Linked DNA regions of Schizosaccharomyces pombe. The main gene of each other region encodes a partner of the protein of the gene in region 2 in a complex. Each region holds a gene or a part of one and is shown on either strand. Other genes may lie near its edges.

What was found.
Region 1: fyv4 (region 2) and mrps18 share a complex: the UniProt entries of both Schizosaccharomyces pombe proteins name them as parts of the mitochondrial small ribosomal subunit.
Region 3: fyv4 (region 2) and rsm7 share a complex: the UniProt entries of both Schizosaccharomyces pombe proteins name them as parts of the mitochondrial small ribosomal subunit.
Region 4: fyv4 (region 2) and bot1 share a complex: the UniProt entries of both Schizosaccharomyces pombe proteins name them as parts of the mitochondrial small ribosomal subunit.

Annotation. Positions count from the first base shown.
Region 1 is NC_003424.3:4,966,426-4,969,394, forward strand, and holds mrps18 (putative mitochondrial ribosomal protein subunit S18), read right to left. Parts: upstream 1,438-2,969; 5' UTR 1,332-1,437; coding exon 798-1,331; 3' UTR 565-797; downstream 1-564. Other genes in the region: SHREC complex subunit Clr2, read left to right, coding at 1-464; gab1 (Pig-U family GPI transamidase subunit), read left to right, coding at 1,721-2,112, 2,340-2,969. UniProt on the Schizosaccharomyces pombe protein: Component of the mitochondrial ribosome (mitoribosome), a dedicated translation machinery responsible for the synthesis of mitochondrial genome-encoded proteins, including at least some of the essential transmembrane subunits of the mitochondrial respiratory chain.
Region 2 is NC_003423.3:3,431,847-3,438,047, forward strand, and holds fyv4 (mitochondrial 37S ribosomal protein mS41 ), read left to right. Parts: upstream 1-1,821; 5' UTR 1,822-1,879; coding exon 1,880-1,973; exon of another isoform or gene 1,974-2,023; coding exon 2,024-2,271; 3' UTR 2,272-2,381; coding exon of another isoform or gene 2,382-2,714; 3' UTR 2,715-2,981; coding exon of another isoform or gene 2,982-4,526; 3' UTR 4,527-5,662; downstream 5,663-6,201. Other genes in the region: U1 snRNP-associated protein Prp39, read left to right, coding at 1-128; autophagy-associated protein Atg5, read right to left, coding at 356-748, 820-994, 1,041-1,159, 1,246-1,344; SPOM_SPBC4B4.12C (uncharacterized protein), read right to left, coding at 2,382-2,714; plasma membrane pantothenate transmembrane transporter Liz1, read right to left, coding at 2,982-4,526; syj1 (inositol-1,4,5-trisphosphate 5-phosphatase 1), read left to right, coding at 5,707-6,201. UniProt on the Schizosaccharomyces pombe protein: Component of the mitochondrial ribosome (mitoribosome), a dedicated translation machinery responsible for the synthesis of mitochondrial genome-encoded proteins, including at least some of the essential transmembrane subunits of the mitochondrial respiratory chain.
Region 3 is NC_003424.3:3,518,164-3,521,451, reverse strand, and holds rsm7 (mitochondrial 37S ribosomal protein uS7m), read left to right. Parts: upstream 1-1,610; 5' UTR 1,611-1,691; coding exon 1,692-2,225; intron 2,226-2,312; coding exon 2,313-2,558; 3' UTR 2,559-2,738; downstream 2,739-3,288. Other genes in the region: transcription factor TFIIH complex subunit Tfb1, read left to right, coding at 5-188, 246-789, 833-910; RhoGEF Scd1, read right to left, coding at 2,926-3,288. UniProt on the Schizosaccharomyces pombe protein: Component of the mitochondrial ribosome (mitoribosome), a dedicated translation machinery responsible for the synthesis of mitochondrial genome-encoded proteins, including at least some of the essential transmembrane subunits of the mitochondrial respiratory chain.
Region 4 is NC_003423.3:2,230,986-2,234,779, reverse strand, and holds bot1 (mitochondrial ribosomal protein subunit S45), read left to right. Parts: upstream 1-1,657; 5' UTR 1,658-1,668; coding exon 1,669-2,616; 3' UTR 2,617-2,997; coding exon of another isoform or gene 2,998-3,174; 3' UTR 3,175-3,237; downstream 3,238-3,794. Other genes in the region: SAGA complex subunit Spt8, read left to right, coding at 1-697; SPOM_SPBC14C8.15 (triglyceride lipase-cholesterol esterase), read right to left, coding at 2,998-3,174, 3,238-3,794. UniProt on the Schizosaccharomyces pombe protein: Component of the mitochondrial ribosome (mitoribosome), a dedicated translation machinery responsible for the synthesis of mitochondrial genome-encoded proteins, including at least some of the essential transmembrane subunits of the mitochondrial respiratory chain.

The DNA.
Region 1 (2,969 bases), on a different chromosome or scaffold from region 2:
GTGTTATATCCACATCTTCACTGCCATCTGTACTTCAAAAAACAAGTTTTATGTACATATCTGATATTTATGTAAACGAAGATGACATTGTCTGTTTCCAAGGCTCACTATGGACACAAATTGACAAAAATGCACTCGATTATAATGACAGCGCTGACAATATTGATGAACATAAGGATGACTTAAAAGAATTACCAAGAAGATTACAAATGGTATCAAAACTATCAAACACATATTTTCGTTGCCTGCATGATAAATCTGTCGAGTACGTCTGCCCATTCGCAGATGTTTTGGGAAGATGGTATGAGCCTTGGTTCGTAAAAGGAGATTTAAATTACACTTCAGAAGTGAAAGAACGCACATCCAGTCGATTATCAGCAGTAGGCTCTGAAAATTGGGTCGATGACGATTTTTATGAATATTTACTGTCTGAAATTGATATGGTGTCAGCAGTTGTAATGTAATAAGTATGGCAGATAAAATTAGATATAGAAGTGTCTACTTATTGATCAGTGACGGTCATTATTTATAATGTAAATAATATGGGAATAATAATGTCTTTTGCATTTCATAAATTACAGAGAAAGATAGGTAAAAACTATTTGTGTTGAATTAGAGATGGGATATAGTTTTTTTTAAGAAATCATGTTGCACTATCACACCGGTATTAATAAATCATTTCTAAGTTCAGAAGGTCAAATACAACGGTGGAAAAGCACCAACAATGTTGGGCAGCAGATTAACTGCACAGGAAGATTACGTAAACGAAGAAAACAGAAAAGTAATATAAACATACTTCATATGCGTCGCTCCCTTCTACCTCTCGGTCCTCCAAATTTAATAGGTGTTCGATCCATAACCTTTACAATTTTGTCTCGAATTACGGCACCTTCTTGCCCTAATAAACAATTTTGTACTGCTTCCCTGGCCTGACTAAAACCATGAAATATAACATGCAAATTTTCAATACCAAGGCGCTTTACTTGGATTTGTTCCAGCACCTTGGAGCAAATGGTATAAGCAGCATCGTAGCCACGGCGCTTTCCTTTACGAAAACCACAGGTTCCTCCAGAGGCCCTAAAAATAATTTTTCTTTCAGGAGAACAAAGTGTAATGTGAGTGTTGTTCTTCAAACATTTGGCATGAAGGTAAAATGGCATTGGAATGGTATCCGTACCTTGCATAATCGGATTTGGCTCCTCCGTCCTTTTTGAAAAAGCTTTTGGAGTGATTGTGGATTCTAAAAGAGAAGAGAGTTCCTTTTTGGGCGCATTCCGCCTAGGACTCTGGCTCCAAAATCTTCGTAGTCCAACTTTTGTTAAATTAAGCATTAGATATTTGATGAAAAATAGCTTGCTAAGAACCGATTTGTAAACCAAAAATAAAATCAAAGAACTAAAAAATATGGATGAAAATGTAAAGGAAATGAAAAATGACAAATTGTAAGTAACCGAGTGCTTCAATACCATAATTTCTATACCAGGTAACTTATGTTACTCAACCTGTGGTAGTGGTATGAACGTGTAAATATTAACCTAAAACACTCTTCTCGTTTTAAAGAAAAAATAAAGAAATAAAAAATTAAAAATCTTACTTTGGTGGCTGCCTTAAAAGTTTTTCAAACGGATCATTTGGGATACCCAACGACTGTAATTTAAACGAAGATTGGTGAATTGAAAACACAAATATAACCCATCTTTTGAACAGTGAAGATTTTGCAATGATACCAAATGAGAAGCTAAAACTATTAGGTTTATTATCAATTTCTTTTTTTCTTCAATGGTATTTAGCAAACACTTGGATTGCTGAATTCCTTTACAGGCGAATCGAAGTATCGACGCCTGTATCCGGATTTTTACGTGTTCGTGAAGGACTTTACTTGTATGAAAACGGACTAGACCCCTATTCTGGTGGTGTTTTCTATCAGTCTCCACTTCTACTGATCTTAAATTATTGTTGTGAGTTGCTTGGAGGAATATCTGTCACCAGATTTGTTTATACTAGCATTTCTACTATGGGAGGTCTCTTTGTGTATTTAATTGCAAAACAAGCTCGTGTTTTAGACCCAAATCAAGTACTATCTACTTGTTCACCATTATGGATTTCCGTCATGTAAGTTACGCATATGGCTTGCGACAAAAAAAGTGAGACATTCTTCAAAAAAATGAAAAGCATTGTATCGTTGGTTTACAAAATTGTTAACGATGACTGTTCAAAGATTGAACTGCGTTGATTACACAGATTTCGTAGTCGATATTGAAAATGTGTACTTCTGTGATATATTTGTGTCGCAAACAAGTATCCTTAACTCAAAATTTACTAACAAAATATTACTTTAGTTATCTGCTTAACCCATTAACATTTCTTCCAGGAATTGCTTGCTCCGCAGACATGATACTTAATTTCACCACTCTAATGACCATTTATTTCGCCTCTTGCGGATCCTATGCAATTTATGCATGCTGTATGGCATTGACTGTATTCATTAATCCTAACGCTTTACTGTTATTTTTCCCCTCCTATCTTATTTTAAGAAAATGCAATTCATCCATTAAATTTCGTCAGATATTCGTTGTTTTTCTTTTTTATCTTGCAGGTCTGATAATAACTTCAGGCTTCTTTCTGAACTCGTTATCTTTTTTGAAAATTCCATTTAGGGTATACTTGGACTCTCATGATCTAACTCCGAATTTGGGTCTCTGGTGGTATTTTTTTACAGAAATGTTCAATGAATTTCGCACATTCTTCCTTTTTGTATTTGCCATTTTACCATTGATGTTTGTTCTCCCTGTTTCGATCCGTCTTTATTATCTGCCCTTGCCTATTACTATTGCTCTTATTGGCCTGCATTCTTTATTCAAAGCTTACCCAAGTATTTGTGATCTTTCAATATTTTTATCTCTCCTCCCAATTTTTAATAAAGTCCAAGACCGAATGCGATATAGCTTGCTTACAAATAATGCTATTGT
Region 2 (6,201 bases):
GTCACCCTGGTATTTCTGTGAATGAAGCAAAAATCAAGTCTGGTGAATCTCCATATGAGAAATATTACCGTCTTCAGGGTGTTGTTGAGACAGTAACATCTGGTGTTGCTGCCAATGGGTCTTCATAATCTACGACTTCTCATTAAAAAGAAATTTTCATAGTCAAATTATCAATGCTATATCTCGTTGCATTTCCTACTTCTTAAAAAGCAGTTTGTTTAGGGAAAGGAGTACTCAAACGCACCTTAATGTCATTGTAAAGTCATTGCTAGACTGCATGGGTATACAAATCTTAAAATTATTTGTACATGAATAACAAATTATCTAAAGGAGCTAGAGAAGAGACGTAAATGTTTTAAACTTTCATTAAAACAATATGTAAAAACCCATCAATGTAACAGAAATCTCGATTGAGCTCGTCTAAAACGCTCTGAAGAAAAATTGTAATACCATGAATAACTGGTTTAACTATTAAGAATTTATCACATGATGGAAACAAGTCGGGAAGGCGTTTATTGAGAAACTCACCAAGAGAACTACCAAGAGGTGCAGAAGTTTGTATAATAGGAGCATTGGCCCCTAAATAAATTTTTAAAGGAATGAATTTGGATTTTGAAAAAAGTATTTTTATAGCAATGGGACGGAAATCATAGTAATCATGATTGAGTATTGCATTCCAGTAGGTGTCTGTTTCTGCCTTTGAAAGAGCGATTATTCCAGACGAACTTCCGTTACGAACGTAATCAGACTGTAAAAAGTTAATATGGATTTACCCCTTTTGTAAATAAATCATATATGTTTTTGTGATAGAGAACGCACCTCTTTTAAGCAGTTGAAAAAATATGTTCGAAAAGTATCCATGGTTTCCATTTGAAGTATTTTGGTTGTAGGAAATAGACCTGAGCGCAATTGAATGCGCCATAGCACCGGCGCTCGAGGAGTATCCGGATCAAACACTGTTAACAAATCGAAAAGTAAGCCAACAGGCCAATGCCTATATTATGATTAATTTACGGAAAGTTACTTTGGGTAAACGATACCATTTAAGAGGAACCCCATTATAATCCAACCAACATTCTGATAAAGGGATTGAAGGTGCCAACAGACGTTGAACATTTGGGAGTATTTGAGCAAAATATGATTGTCGCGGGACGTTAGCCTTAGGTAGAATATGGTGAGCAAAAAGGAAAAAATAAATTGAGTTAAAGAATATTAAATTACTACTTGAGTGAACAAATCACATACTAGATAGGCCAGAGAATTACCTTCATAATCAATGCGCACAGAAATAGTGCCATTCCAAAGGAGCTCTGGAATATTGCCTTTATTATTATCGACATTCATTTTTAAAAAACATCTCCAATACTGTGATTAGAAATTGTGCTTTTGTTGTATACTTAACAAACTCGTGGGTGGTTGGAATGCGTTGATAAATAGCTTAGAGTCAGACATTCACTATAATTAGTTAAATTAATGTTTTTACAATTAAAGTAAGTGGGCTTTAAATACACATAGTAGAGTCTTCAAAAAATTCACCCGAAAATATAACTGGTAATTTATATGTTCAAAATACGAGTTCCTGCTATACAAAAACCGCAATTAGGAATTTGTAGATTCACTGTATTGATTAGTTAATAGACACGTAATGACTTTTCGGAAGTAGAAGTTTGAGATATTCAAGGGACTTGAAAGTTTGCATGCAGTAAATCTCATAAAAGAATTAAAAGCAAGGATTTATATAGCTAATAATTGCAGGCACTAAGCTTGACATGGTCGCACTATGAGTCGCTAGTACGTTTGTGAGACTTTCGCATACGTTCCAGAAACTGTACACAACTTATTTAAACAACCAAATATTTTTAAAACAATACTGGTAAATATGTTGATCTTGAAGAGGATTTTCATTATAAGAAATTTTATATTTCCTTTTTCTAACTGCCGGTATGCCTCTACTGTTCCTAGTCCAAGATCAGGTATGAGATTTCAAAACATTAGTGCAATTTAAATTCCTAACAAGATTCAGGGATTTCTAATACAAATGATTTCTTTAAAAGAATTGGAAGAGATACTGCAGAAAAAGTGAACGGAAAATTCGAGTCTTGGGATGGTCTATTTAGGAAAAGTACAAAAACTATGAAAAAGGAAGGTATTGATGTACGTACAAGGAAATACATTGCAAGCCAAAGAAACCGATTTAAAGAAGGGTTTATAGTTAAGCCATATCCAGTTATGGTTAAAAAGAATGGAGGTGAGCGACGCAAACGTAAATAATAAGTATATGGAATATTATATTCTTTTGAGACATTCTTTCTTCTTTTTGTAGTTGAGTTTTTGCTTGAGTTCGAATTAATCTAAAATTTGCTTAAAATAGCCAACACTGTTCAAAGCATGTCTTTTCTCGACGAAGATGTGGAGCCTAGAACGCAAAGCCGATTAAACAATTGTCCATGAAACCATTTAGCAAATTCTGGAGAATTTTCCATTAGTGCGGAATTGGCGCTAGGGTATTGTCTCCCTCTTTCCAAGTTATTTTCATTTGTTTCGTTCACGGGCTTCCATTCCCACTCTCCTGCCCAGATTAATTTAGCTTCAATTTTTTCTCTAGTCCTAATATATAAAAAATTTTCTTTTAGCTCCATTAAGTCTACACCATCGCTAAATTCCTTTAGGACTGATGTATACTCAATAACTTGTTGATCATTGCCGGATACCATCCAAACTATACGTATAGTTGGTATTTCTATTTAATGGTTATAAATTTTTAACTTCAGCTGCACCTTAAATCGTTTGTTAGCAGATTCTTTTTGAGTATGTGTGCAAAGGTATTCGTTTGCGTTTGCGTCAAAGGGCTTGGTCAATTAGATGAGCCAACTGTGGTAAATTTTTATGTTAGGTTGATATCAATATGAACAGCAAATTTACTCTAAATGTGTACTTAAAGGCATAAGGAATATTTATACTATGTCATTAATCTTCTAGTACTAATCTTGGGCATTCGTTTCTTTTGGCATGGAAATTCGCTGTCGCGTTATCACAAGCCCTGGAGAACTAATTTCTTTGACCGCATTAGTTGTGTTGAGTGATTCCTCATCATTTTTGCCTATTTTTTTTAACTCTAAACTTTCATGCTCAGTGAATACATCATCGAAATCTTTTGCATCCTGGATGGATCGTTTAATTCTTTTATCGCGGATTTGCATGTAACTAACAATACAAGAGCTAACAAAGACTATTCCTCCTACCACCAGCAAACCAATTAATCCTTTTATAAATCGAGGCGTATCAGTATTGGGATACATTATAGGTGCCCACCAAATATGCCAGATATTCTGACACATATTCATCAAAAACACAACAACTCCTCTTTCCTGATCATTATCCCGGCAAATGTCATTTGCCCAAGAAAACCAAACTGCTTGTCCAGCATATGTACAACCAGAAGCGAAATAAGCAAAGAATTTTGCGCCATCTGGCACGTTCCATGCTAGAAGTATTGTAGCAGAAACAGTAGTAATTACGCACAGAAAAAGTCCAAAAGGCCATCTTGGGTTTCCAGCTAATTTATCAGAAATAACACTAGCACCTAACGTTGATACTACGCCAACAGCTGTAATCACAGTTGGGTAATTATTTATTTGGGCAACAGAAAATTTGTTGCTCCATTTCATCCACTGACCCATCAATACATTGACAGCTATAGCTTGTGTTTCTCCGCTAAAAATCCAAAGGATGCACAAACCGTAAATTCGCCATGAACGTACAATATCCTTTATCGCTTTTAGCGTTAATGGCTTCTTCTTGGGGCGAGCGGGTAGCCTTTTGAAACTTAATTCTTTTTCTTGTTCTGTAAAATAAGGAGCCTTGGTTGTTTCTGGAACGTCAGGAAACAGAAAGAGCCCATATAATGAAAGAGGAATCGTCAAAATGCCATCAATTATAAAAAGCCAACGCCAACCAGATAAACCACCTTTACCATTTAATGATGAATGAACTGCTGTTTGCAAATACCCAGCAAACATTGTGCCGACTAAACCAGAGGCTGAAAAAATTCCGGCACGTTTGCATAGTTCACTTTCTTTGTACCATGCGCCCAATATATAATGCGTACCAGCAAATGTAGATGCCTCCGCAACCGCCATGAAAAAGCGTAAAATCATCAATGCTCGAACGGAATGTACCGCAAATGAAAAAATCGTCATAAGTCCCCATAAAATATTCATAACCGAAAACCAAAGTCTTGCTGGTACTCTCTGTAATGCATAAGAACCTGGCAATTGTCCTATAATGTATCCACATGTAAAAACAACGTTTATATCTTGCAATTCATTACCATGCATTTTCAAATCCTCTTGCATACCACTAAGGTATGCATTGTTTATTGATGATCTATCCAAGTAATTAATAAAATATGAAACGCAACAGTAAGAAAGTATGAACCAATCTATTTTTATTAAAAGCTTTTGTTCAACTTTGTTTAATCCATAATAAGGGGAAAAGGTTTTTGCCAACCTATTTAGTAACGCCATTACGACTTGTCTCACTTATGAAATATTCACGACAATTTACAGAGGAGACCTAACTTAAATTTTTATGGCTTTAGAAAACGTACAATTTCAATGGATTCTCATGAAAAGTGCCTATATTAAAGTAAAGCCAGGGACCTAAGCAAGGAACAAACACTTCGAGTCAAAATCGAATTGCAGACTGTTGGAATATCAATATGCTCCAGCCAGGAAAATTTTTTCTTTAATTTTTCTGAAAAATCAAGATTATAAGTATCGATCGAGCCTTCTAAAAAGTGACAATATCAATGCCGGAAACCCAATCTTAATTTTTAGATGTGCGCTGATTACTCGGAATTGGCTAGCAAGTTGGATACTTATTCTCGACGTAGCCACAATGAGTACTATACTTTGCTGCTCTATTTGTGGAAATTAACTGTATTGCAAAAAACATCTAACCTTTCAATTAATAAGCATTCGGTTCAAGTGGCTACAATACAATAACCACTATTTGCGAGATTAAACATACTATTACAGTAACCAACACATTTGAAATGTAAAAAATTGCCATAGTTGAAGCTATTCAGCGTCAGCGAACATCTTCGGAGAGCTCAAATAATCTTAGCTCTTAAGATGGGGGTTTTTTCTGCCGAATACTGTATCTGTTTGACTTTTATTTTTAATACGTTGGAGTAACCGCTGTATTCTTGTGCAACTTGGTGTTTTTGAAATTAACAATGGCACTGTTGATGAACGAAAGTGAATTATAATACATTTTTTGACAGTACCAATCTTATGGAAGTGCCTTGAAATCCTGTTACGTTACGTTTTAGCAAGATCGCTTCTCTTATGATTTTCTTGTTTCAATGGTTTTCTACCCATAATCAATGAAATATGTTTACAAGGGTTACGAGTTTTGTAAAGCAAATGCACTTTAAAAATTGACCAGAAACTTCCATATATTAGAACCAAAATTTTTTGGAATACATTTTAACATAGTAAATTAAAATAAGCCGTTTACTTATTCTAATTTACAGAAGCGCTTCTATAATGTTTAAGTAACGAACGTTTTTGTCACCCAACACCACCCAACTTCGTATCCCAAGATTTATAACTTGTTCGGACAAACATCGTTGGTAAAGACTTGCATCGTTCATTACAGAACGAATTTTATTATTTATAGTTCACATTTGTGAATCTTAAGATGCAATGTCTGCTGAGGGAAAAGCCAAGATCCTTGGCCTTAGTCAATAAGGACCATGCTCTTATGTTTCATTCGGTTCCTCAGAACAAAAACTCTTTATCAGTATGTGTTGCAGAATTTACGGCATTGTCAGAAAAGCCGTTAGAAGGATTTCGAAAAATCTCCAGTCATCGAATTTATGGTACTCTAGGTCTGATTGAATTAGAAGGGTCCAATTTTTTGTGCGTGATTAGTGGAGCTAGTGAGGTAGCACGTGTGCGAGATAAAGAAAGAGTTTTTCGTATCATGGAGGTCTGCTTTTACAGTGTTAATCGTTCAAACTGGGATCACATTCGACAAGAAAATTACTCGCCTGATATTCCGGATGGTTACGATACCGATACCCAAGGCTATGATTCTTACAAGTATGCCGCTGAACCATTCAGTAGTCTCAGAAAGCTATTAACAAATGGATCATTTTACTTTTCTCTCGATTTTGACATTACTACCCGACTG
Region 3 (3,288 bases), on a different chromosome or scaffold from region 2:
CAAGAGGTAACCAAAGTATCGGATGAACCTATTGCATCGCACCTCTTTGATTTAGAAGGAAATGATCAAAATGCAAATGTAATAGCAGAACTTAGACCTGATATCACTATGCGAATTGACAAAGAAGCTCTACCGTTTATGAAAAACATCAATCAGCTTTCGGAAAGACTTTTGGAAAAAAGTTTGGGGTATGTATATTCGGTTTTATTAATTGTTATTGCTTCGGTATGCCTAACAACTTGTAGAAACTCTAAACGATTTAACAACGAAAATGAAGAAACATACTTAAAAGAATCTGGTTTTCACGATTTAGAAGAAGAAGCCAGTGACTCTAAAGTTGTCTTAAAAATCAAAGGTCAAGATCAGTTATTGGAAAATAATTTTGTCCCCTCAAAAAATCAAGTTGGTTTAGAGCCTTTGCCTTCATTGGAAGCTCTTCAACATTTATACCAGGAAGATTCGATAAGCTTAAATCACATTGAACATGATTCTGACTCTTTGGCTGAAGCCGCTATGCAGCTTACTCAGAGTATGCGCGAAAAGCATGAGTTTGAGACCCACGGCACTGCATCAAATTTACCTATTGACATAAAAAATGAAATTGTTTTGTGCCATACCGTTACGATAGAATTTTTGCATCAATTTTGGAATGCCTTGTTGAATACAACTTTCCCGGACAAGAAGGCGATGGCCCCCCTTCAGAATGCTCTGTTAAATTCGAAAAAAAGGGTGGAGGCAATTGCGAGCCAGGCTCAGGAACAAAACGTTGATCCAAAACTGGTTTATGAGGTAAGTTTTTTTTGTAGAGATTTTGATTATTAACTAGGATTAGTTGGTATCCTGTACGCTCACTTCTATTGATACGTCAATCTCGGAGTATCAAAGACGAATGTCTTATCCTCCTGCTTAGGTTTGATAATGTCTTTGGAAACTCAATTGTGCTTGTAAAAGGTAATTGTTTCTGTTTTTCCATATAGAGGTTAATGATATATTGATATATTCTTTATTGGACTTAATGTTCTTTCTTCATAAAGGCTGGAAAAAATGAACATTGAAATGCTGGATATGGCTCTTTTTCTGTTTATACAACTCTTGAATTAAAAAACTTTTGTTTTGGTTTATAGATTCAAAAGACAATCAAAACTGTTTTTAGATTACTGTGCTCATAGGCCAAAATCTAATGTTTTTATGTCTTTATAGATTTTATTATTTATTAAAATTCGTTTTATGACACGAATATAGTATGTTATAAACTGATGTTCAATTAATTAATGTCCCATAATTTCTCTCTTTTGTTTTAAATGCTTGTTTTTACAATTTTTCAATTTATCGCTTCTCTGTATATTATATATAACTTTTTTTTTTACTTTCTTTCAAGGTATCAGTTCTGTATGATCCCAATAAAACTGTGTCTAGCTCAAGTATTAAATTTGGATACACAATTAATGATGAATATTTTAACATCGATTACCTAATTTATCTTATTTCAAGTTAATAAATAAATAGCCAAACGACTTTGAAATGTAGCACGCTAGCGCCTAGTTCCCTTCCCTTTTCTTTCATTTATCCATAGTGTATATGTACTAAGCTTAAACATCTACGCACACCTTAGCTTTCCTACATGCTTTGATTAATAAGAGTAATTGTTTTAAAAATTTCATTCAAGAAGAAAGAACAAACAATAAAGGGCCATGCTACGACTCATAAAGCAACCTTTGTTTCGATGTGCGAGTTCGGGACATTTGATGAAAGAGTCGCTTGTTTTTATCCATCAGACTCGTACTTTTCAAGTTGGAAAATTTACCTCAAATGAAAAATATAATGAAAAAATTGAAGATATCAATGAACGTTCAAATCCACAATGGGATAATGCGGGACTCGAAAATTTACTGAATCAACTTCAAGATTCTGTCGAACAGTCTGCCTCCGACGATTTTATGGGTGAATTAGAGAAAAAAATTGAAGTTGAAAATGAAGAACCGCCGCTAATGGGTACAAATCTGTGGCCTTCTCCGTCAAGTTCAATTGTAGGGTTAATAGATCGACCATTTCAGGTCGACTCTACAGTACAGCATTTGGTGAATTTAATAATGCGAGATGGGAAAAAAGCTAAAGCTGAAAAGATTGTTGCAACAGCGCTCTCTATCATACAAAAAGAAACCGGTGAAAATCCTATAGATGTTTTGAAACAAGCAATCGCTGAGATTTCTCCCTTAATGAAGTTGGTACGTCGAAATTATTGAAAATTTTGGAATTTTTTGTGAATTATTTCTTTTTATAGTGTGTAGACGGATTTGCTAATATTTTGATAGGTTTCTGCAAAGCGATTTAACAAAAGTGTCGAATTTCCTATGCCATTGAAAGAGCGACAGCGAAGAAGGATTGCGTTACAATGGATCCTCGGTGAATGTAAATCATCAAGTCCTAAAAGATTATCAGATCGTATTGTTAAAGAAATCATTGCTATCAGGAGCAAGACAAGCAATTGTTTCAAAAAGAAAGATCATCTGCACAGAATGTGCCTTGTTAACAGAGGTAATGCACCCGTTCGTATATAAAAACAAAAATTCCGTACATTTTTATCTTTTTTATGAATTGCATTCCCTTTTAGTAATGTTATTTTTGTCTAGTATATCGAGAATTGATTACTCTTAGTTATCAACTCAATTATACTACGTAGTGCGCAGTTAATCATATTCATGTTTATGAGGTTATAGTTTGGTTGTAAAATAACTTTCATAATATTCATCAACATTCTTCTACAGCTCCTTTTCAGTTAACGGAAATGCTACAGAATTTATCTTCTATGAAGTATATTGTTGTTTTTTCAAAACAAAGAAGGGAAAGTAAATTAGTTCATCGACTAAACTGTTAATTTCCTCTATATAAATTAAATTGACAATGTACAGCTAGCACAATGCTAGTTTAGAAATAAACAACAACGTGCAAAGACACAGTATCCATTCCTTTATTATGGACAGGATCCATAAGTTCAAACGTGCACGTTTCAAATGCCATTAAAACGTCTTCATCGGATGTGATGGTTATAAAATCGCCATCCTCATCAACATACTTCAGTCTAACCCGAAAAGGAACAGCTTGTTTCAAAATCCCACAAAGCTTTATTTTATGTTCTACCTTGGCTAACAGCTCATCAAATGTTATATCATGAGCAACAACCAGGACGAGACTAACCTCATGTAAACGGAGACGAATTTTAACATTCGTGGTATTTCGAACTGATAGGGAGGTAGACGTGGAACTCGAGCTTAACGAAGTATGTTTAGT
Region 4 (3,794 bases), 1.2 Mb from region 2:
GGACGACATGCGTAGTTTGTTCGGTACACCTGCGTCTTCCTCTTCTTACGATGCACTGTTTGATGAAGAGGTGGAAAAAGCCATTGAAGAAGAAACTAAATCTGTTCAAGCAAATGAGGAGAACGAGACAGAAAAACCCTCTCAAACCGAATCTACTACTAACAATGACAACATAAAAGCTCCTTCCGAATCTTCATCCGAAGAGTCCAATATTTTCTTAACGACGTCTATAGATGGAGTTATGAATGTATGGGACCATCGCATGGTCGATTCTGTTCTCAAATACCCCGTCCCCAAGGGTGTACCACCATGGGCTATGTCTGCATGTTGGAGTCCGGATGGAAATAATATATATATTGGCCGCCGAAATGGAATCGTCGAAGAATATAACATTCACTCTGGCAAGGAGCCTGTTCGCTCTTTAAAAATGCCTCTCGATTCGGGTCCTGTTTCAAATGTCTATTCGATGCCGAATGGCCGTCACCTTGTAATTTCCTCCTTTGATAATATCCGCCTTTATGATCTTCAAAGCAAGGCCGGCATAGGGTTCTTAATTATTCCAGGTCATCATGGAGGTCTTGTCAGTTCGCTTTATGTAGACACTTCTTGTCAATTCATGTTTTCAGCTAGTGGAAATCGAGGATGGCAAGGAACTACTACTGAAGTGTTCCTCGGATACCAAATAATGACTTCATAAAATGCTTTCTCTAAAACACATATTCGCAATAATGTACATTATGATAATAGACTGAAAGGAAGTGGGTTACGATTTAGTCGGTCAAATACAAAATGGTCTTTGAAAGGCACTTTGGATTTTGCCTTAGTAGGGTCAATTATATGCCTATTGTCGTTTAACTTTAAAAATCTTTTTGAATTGTCTCCCTTTCAACATTTGAAATAAACATCTCAGTTAAAGTTTTTAGAATAATTGTTAAGCCCATGCACTCTTCATTAGTTGATTGCTTTTTGGGTTTTTGGTTACTCTCTAAATAATTTGAGGTAAGTTTATAAATGTTTCCTTAAACCTATTTCCCCTTTTTTGCCGAATATAATAAACTTAGGTATTAAGCTGAGATTGTTGGTTATGAACTTTCTGACAAATATGATACACAAATCGTTTTGTTTGTATAACATGTATTCTAAAACTTTCCTCTACTTTAATTTTCAATTTGGAATTTCCTAATCAATTTAATGCCATCCATCCGCTTTATTATTTGTTGATGTGTCAATTGCCAAACAAAAATATCAAGGACATGCGAAACTCTTGTCTAAAGAAGCAATGACCGTATTTAATGAATTTTTTTCGTTTGATTCTGTAGAAATTATGACTTAAATTGTGTATTTATTTTTTAAGTATTGATGTGTATAACTGTTCGTATCCTAATATTGGAACTGACTCTCAAACATTCTATAGAATAAACAAAATCTTACTTTATTGCATACTGAGAGTTATTGTCTCATAAATAAATCAAGCGTCTGTATGTTAATCGGATCTTATAATGGAGCTAGATTGCTTGACCGCCGGAGGTTAAATTTGAGTTTTCCTAAATCGTCTCATTAATTATTGGTTTTTTGAAGTTTATTTTCTATATCTATCTTGATGAATAGAATTAGGGCGTGTTACTAACTTTTGGGGAGTGACACAAGAAACCTTTCCAACGCACCTAAATGAGGAATTCAGTGGAATTCTCACAGTTAGGGCTTAAAACGGCTTTTAATTTATCTCAAAATAAAACTTATACCTCAGCAGTCAAGAAACAATTCTTTAGTACTGGAGCATTTTTAAGCAATGGGGGAAATATTGATTTAAATAAACACACTCAAAAGAACATTGATTCAAAGTACGTTGCTTGCAACTCAAGATCTGTAACACCCCCAAATGATGTTGCTTCTTCAGTTTCTAAGAATACACTTCGTCATAAACAACGTTTAATGATGGCTCAATGGTTAATGTCTCCCGAAGTACAGAAAGCAAAGTCCTCATCATCTGGTAATGTAGGCTTGGGACCTAATACAAATCAGCCCTTCCCTTTAAACCCTTTTTTTAAGCCTCCTAGGCCTATATCTCATTCTTTGCGTATGAAAATTACCGATGAATACTTGCAGGGTGCAAGTATAGAAGTGCTTGCTCGAAAATTCAACACATCTCCACAAAGGATTGAAGCTCTTATAAAGTTGAGAAGAATAAATGATGAATTCGAAGAAAAAAAGAAGCCGATTCTTCATAGTTATAATGAAGTTATGGAGAAAATGCTGAACGCATGTACTAAACCTGAGATGATGCAGTTTAATGACGGAAACGATATTCCTTTGCGTTCCAATCCAGTATCCCTTTGGAAGAGTTTGCCTGAGGGAGAAACGTTTACACCTCAAGAGGCTGCTAAAATCCTGAAGTGGCCTTCGATTGAGGAATTAAACATGAGACAAAACGCTACTCACTTCCACAAAACATCTGATGAGCACAAAGATTTGAATGAAGATGAAGAGCTAATTTCTTCAAGCCCCAGCGAAGTTGGGAAGCGTGTTTTTAGGCTCATTGATCTTTCTACTGGTAATGTGTATAGAAGGGATACCGGCGGGGATATTTATGTTAAGAGAAAAAAATCTACTACCTGAAAATCAAGCATTTATTTCCCGTTTTTGAAAGAAAATTTACCCCCTTAGCATGCATTAGCGGCAGTACAATCCATTTCAAACTTTTGCGAAATAAAATCTTGAATTGTTACAAATTCACTCAGCAAATTCTTCTAGTTGTTGCATTATCTAAAAGTTATTTGTACATATAAAAATTGCATAGTTTTTTTTGCTTTCGTTGCCATATTGACTTTTTCAAATTAAACAAAGAAACTTTTTTTAGCCGTTTAATACAAATACTGATAAGAAGGGTTGCACATACGATGAAACAGTCTATACAACACTGTGCTTCAGTTTGATTTAGAACAGAAACTTATCTAACATATTAAATATACATTGTGCCAGTTTCAGAAGCGATGAACACTATATTGTATGGTTCATAACGCCGTCAACCAATTCTGTGTCAAGTCCAAATTCTTCTTTTATGCTTTCAAAGTAATCTCCAGCAATGACATGATTTAGTTGTTCTACGACTTGCTGAATTACTATGTCCTTTTTCGTATCTCCCATGATGATGTCGAGATGCTCATAGTTAGGAATCTTTAATTTTAACTTGTTAGTTTCCACTTAAGTAAATGAAGCTACAACTGTTTCAGAACATACCTGAATGCATTGAGATAATGGTGGAAGTTGGGTCTTGAGTGTTTCAATGTCCACCATGTTATCGTTACTGCCATAAACTAAAGTAATAGGTAGACGTATATTTTCAATCGGATAGCGAGCAATTCGGTTAAGATTTGTATAGTAACTTGGCTTAAATCCTGGACTGTCATCGTACATTTGTAATACTTTGCGACGCGTAATTTGAGCCCAATGTACAAAGCATTTGACAGAAGTAAAGGAATATAGATGGGAGTATGCAACGATTTTCTGAGTTTCGGAAATATTTTTTCCGGTCCAGCTCAGAAAAAAGCGAAGAAACAGATCAACAATTTTTGCAAAAACTGGCGGATATAAAACTGCTTGCCAAAACACAGCAGAACCAAGCATGGAATTTCGACCGAACATTAGGTAAAGAAGTTGGCTATTAGCGTGAATAATAGATTTAACGGTTCTACCACTATACTTTTTAGGAGCAATTGCAGGAGCTAGAGCAATAAATGCTCGTACGGAATTGCGAAGTTCAGTATCAATAGACAGCGCTGCAAATGCTAATATAG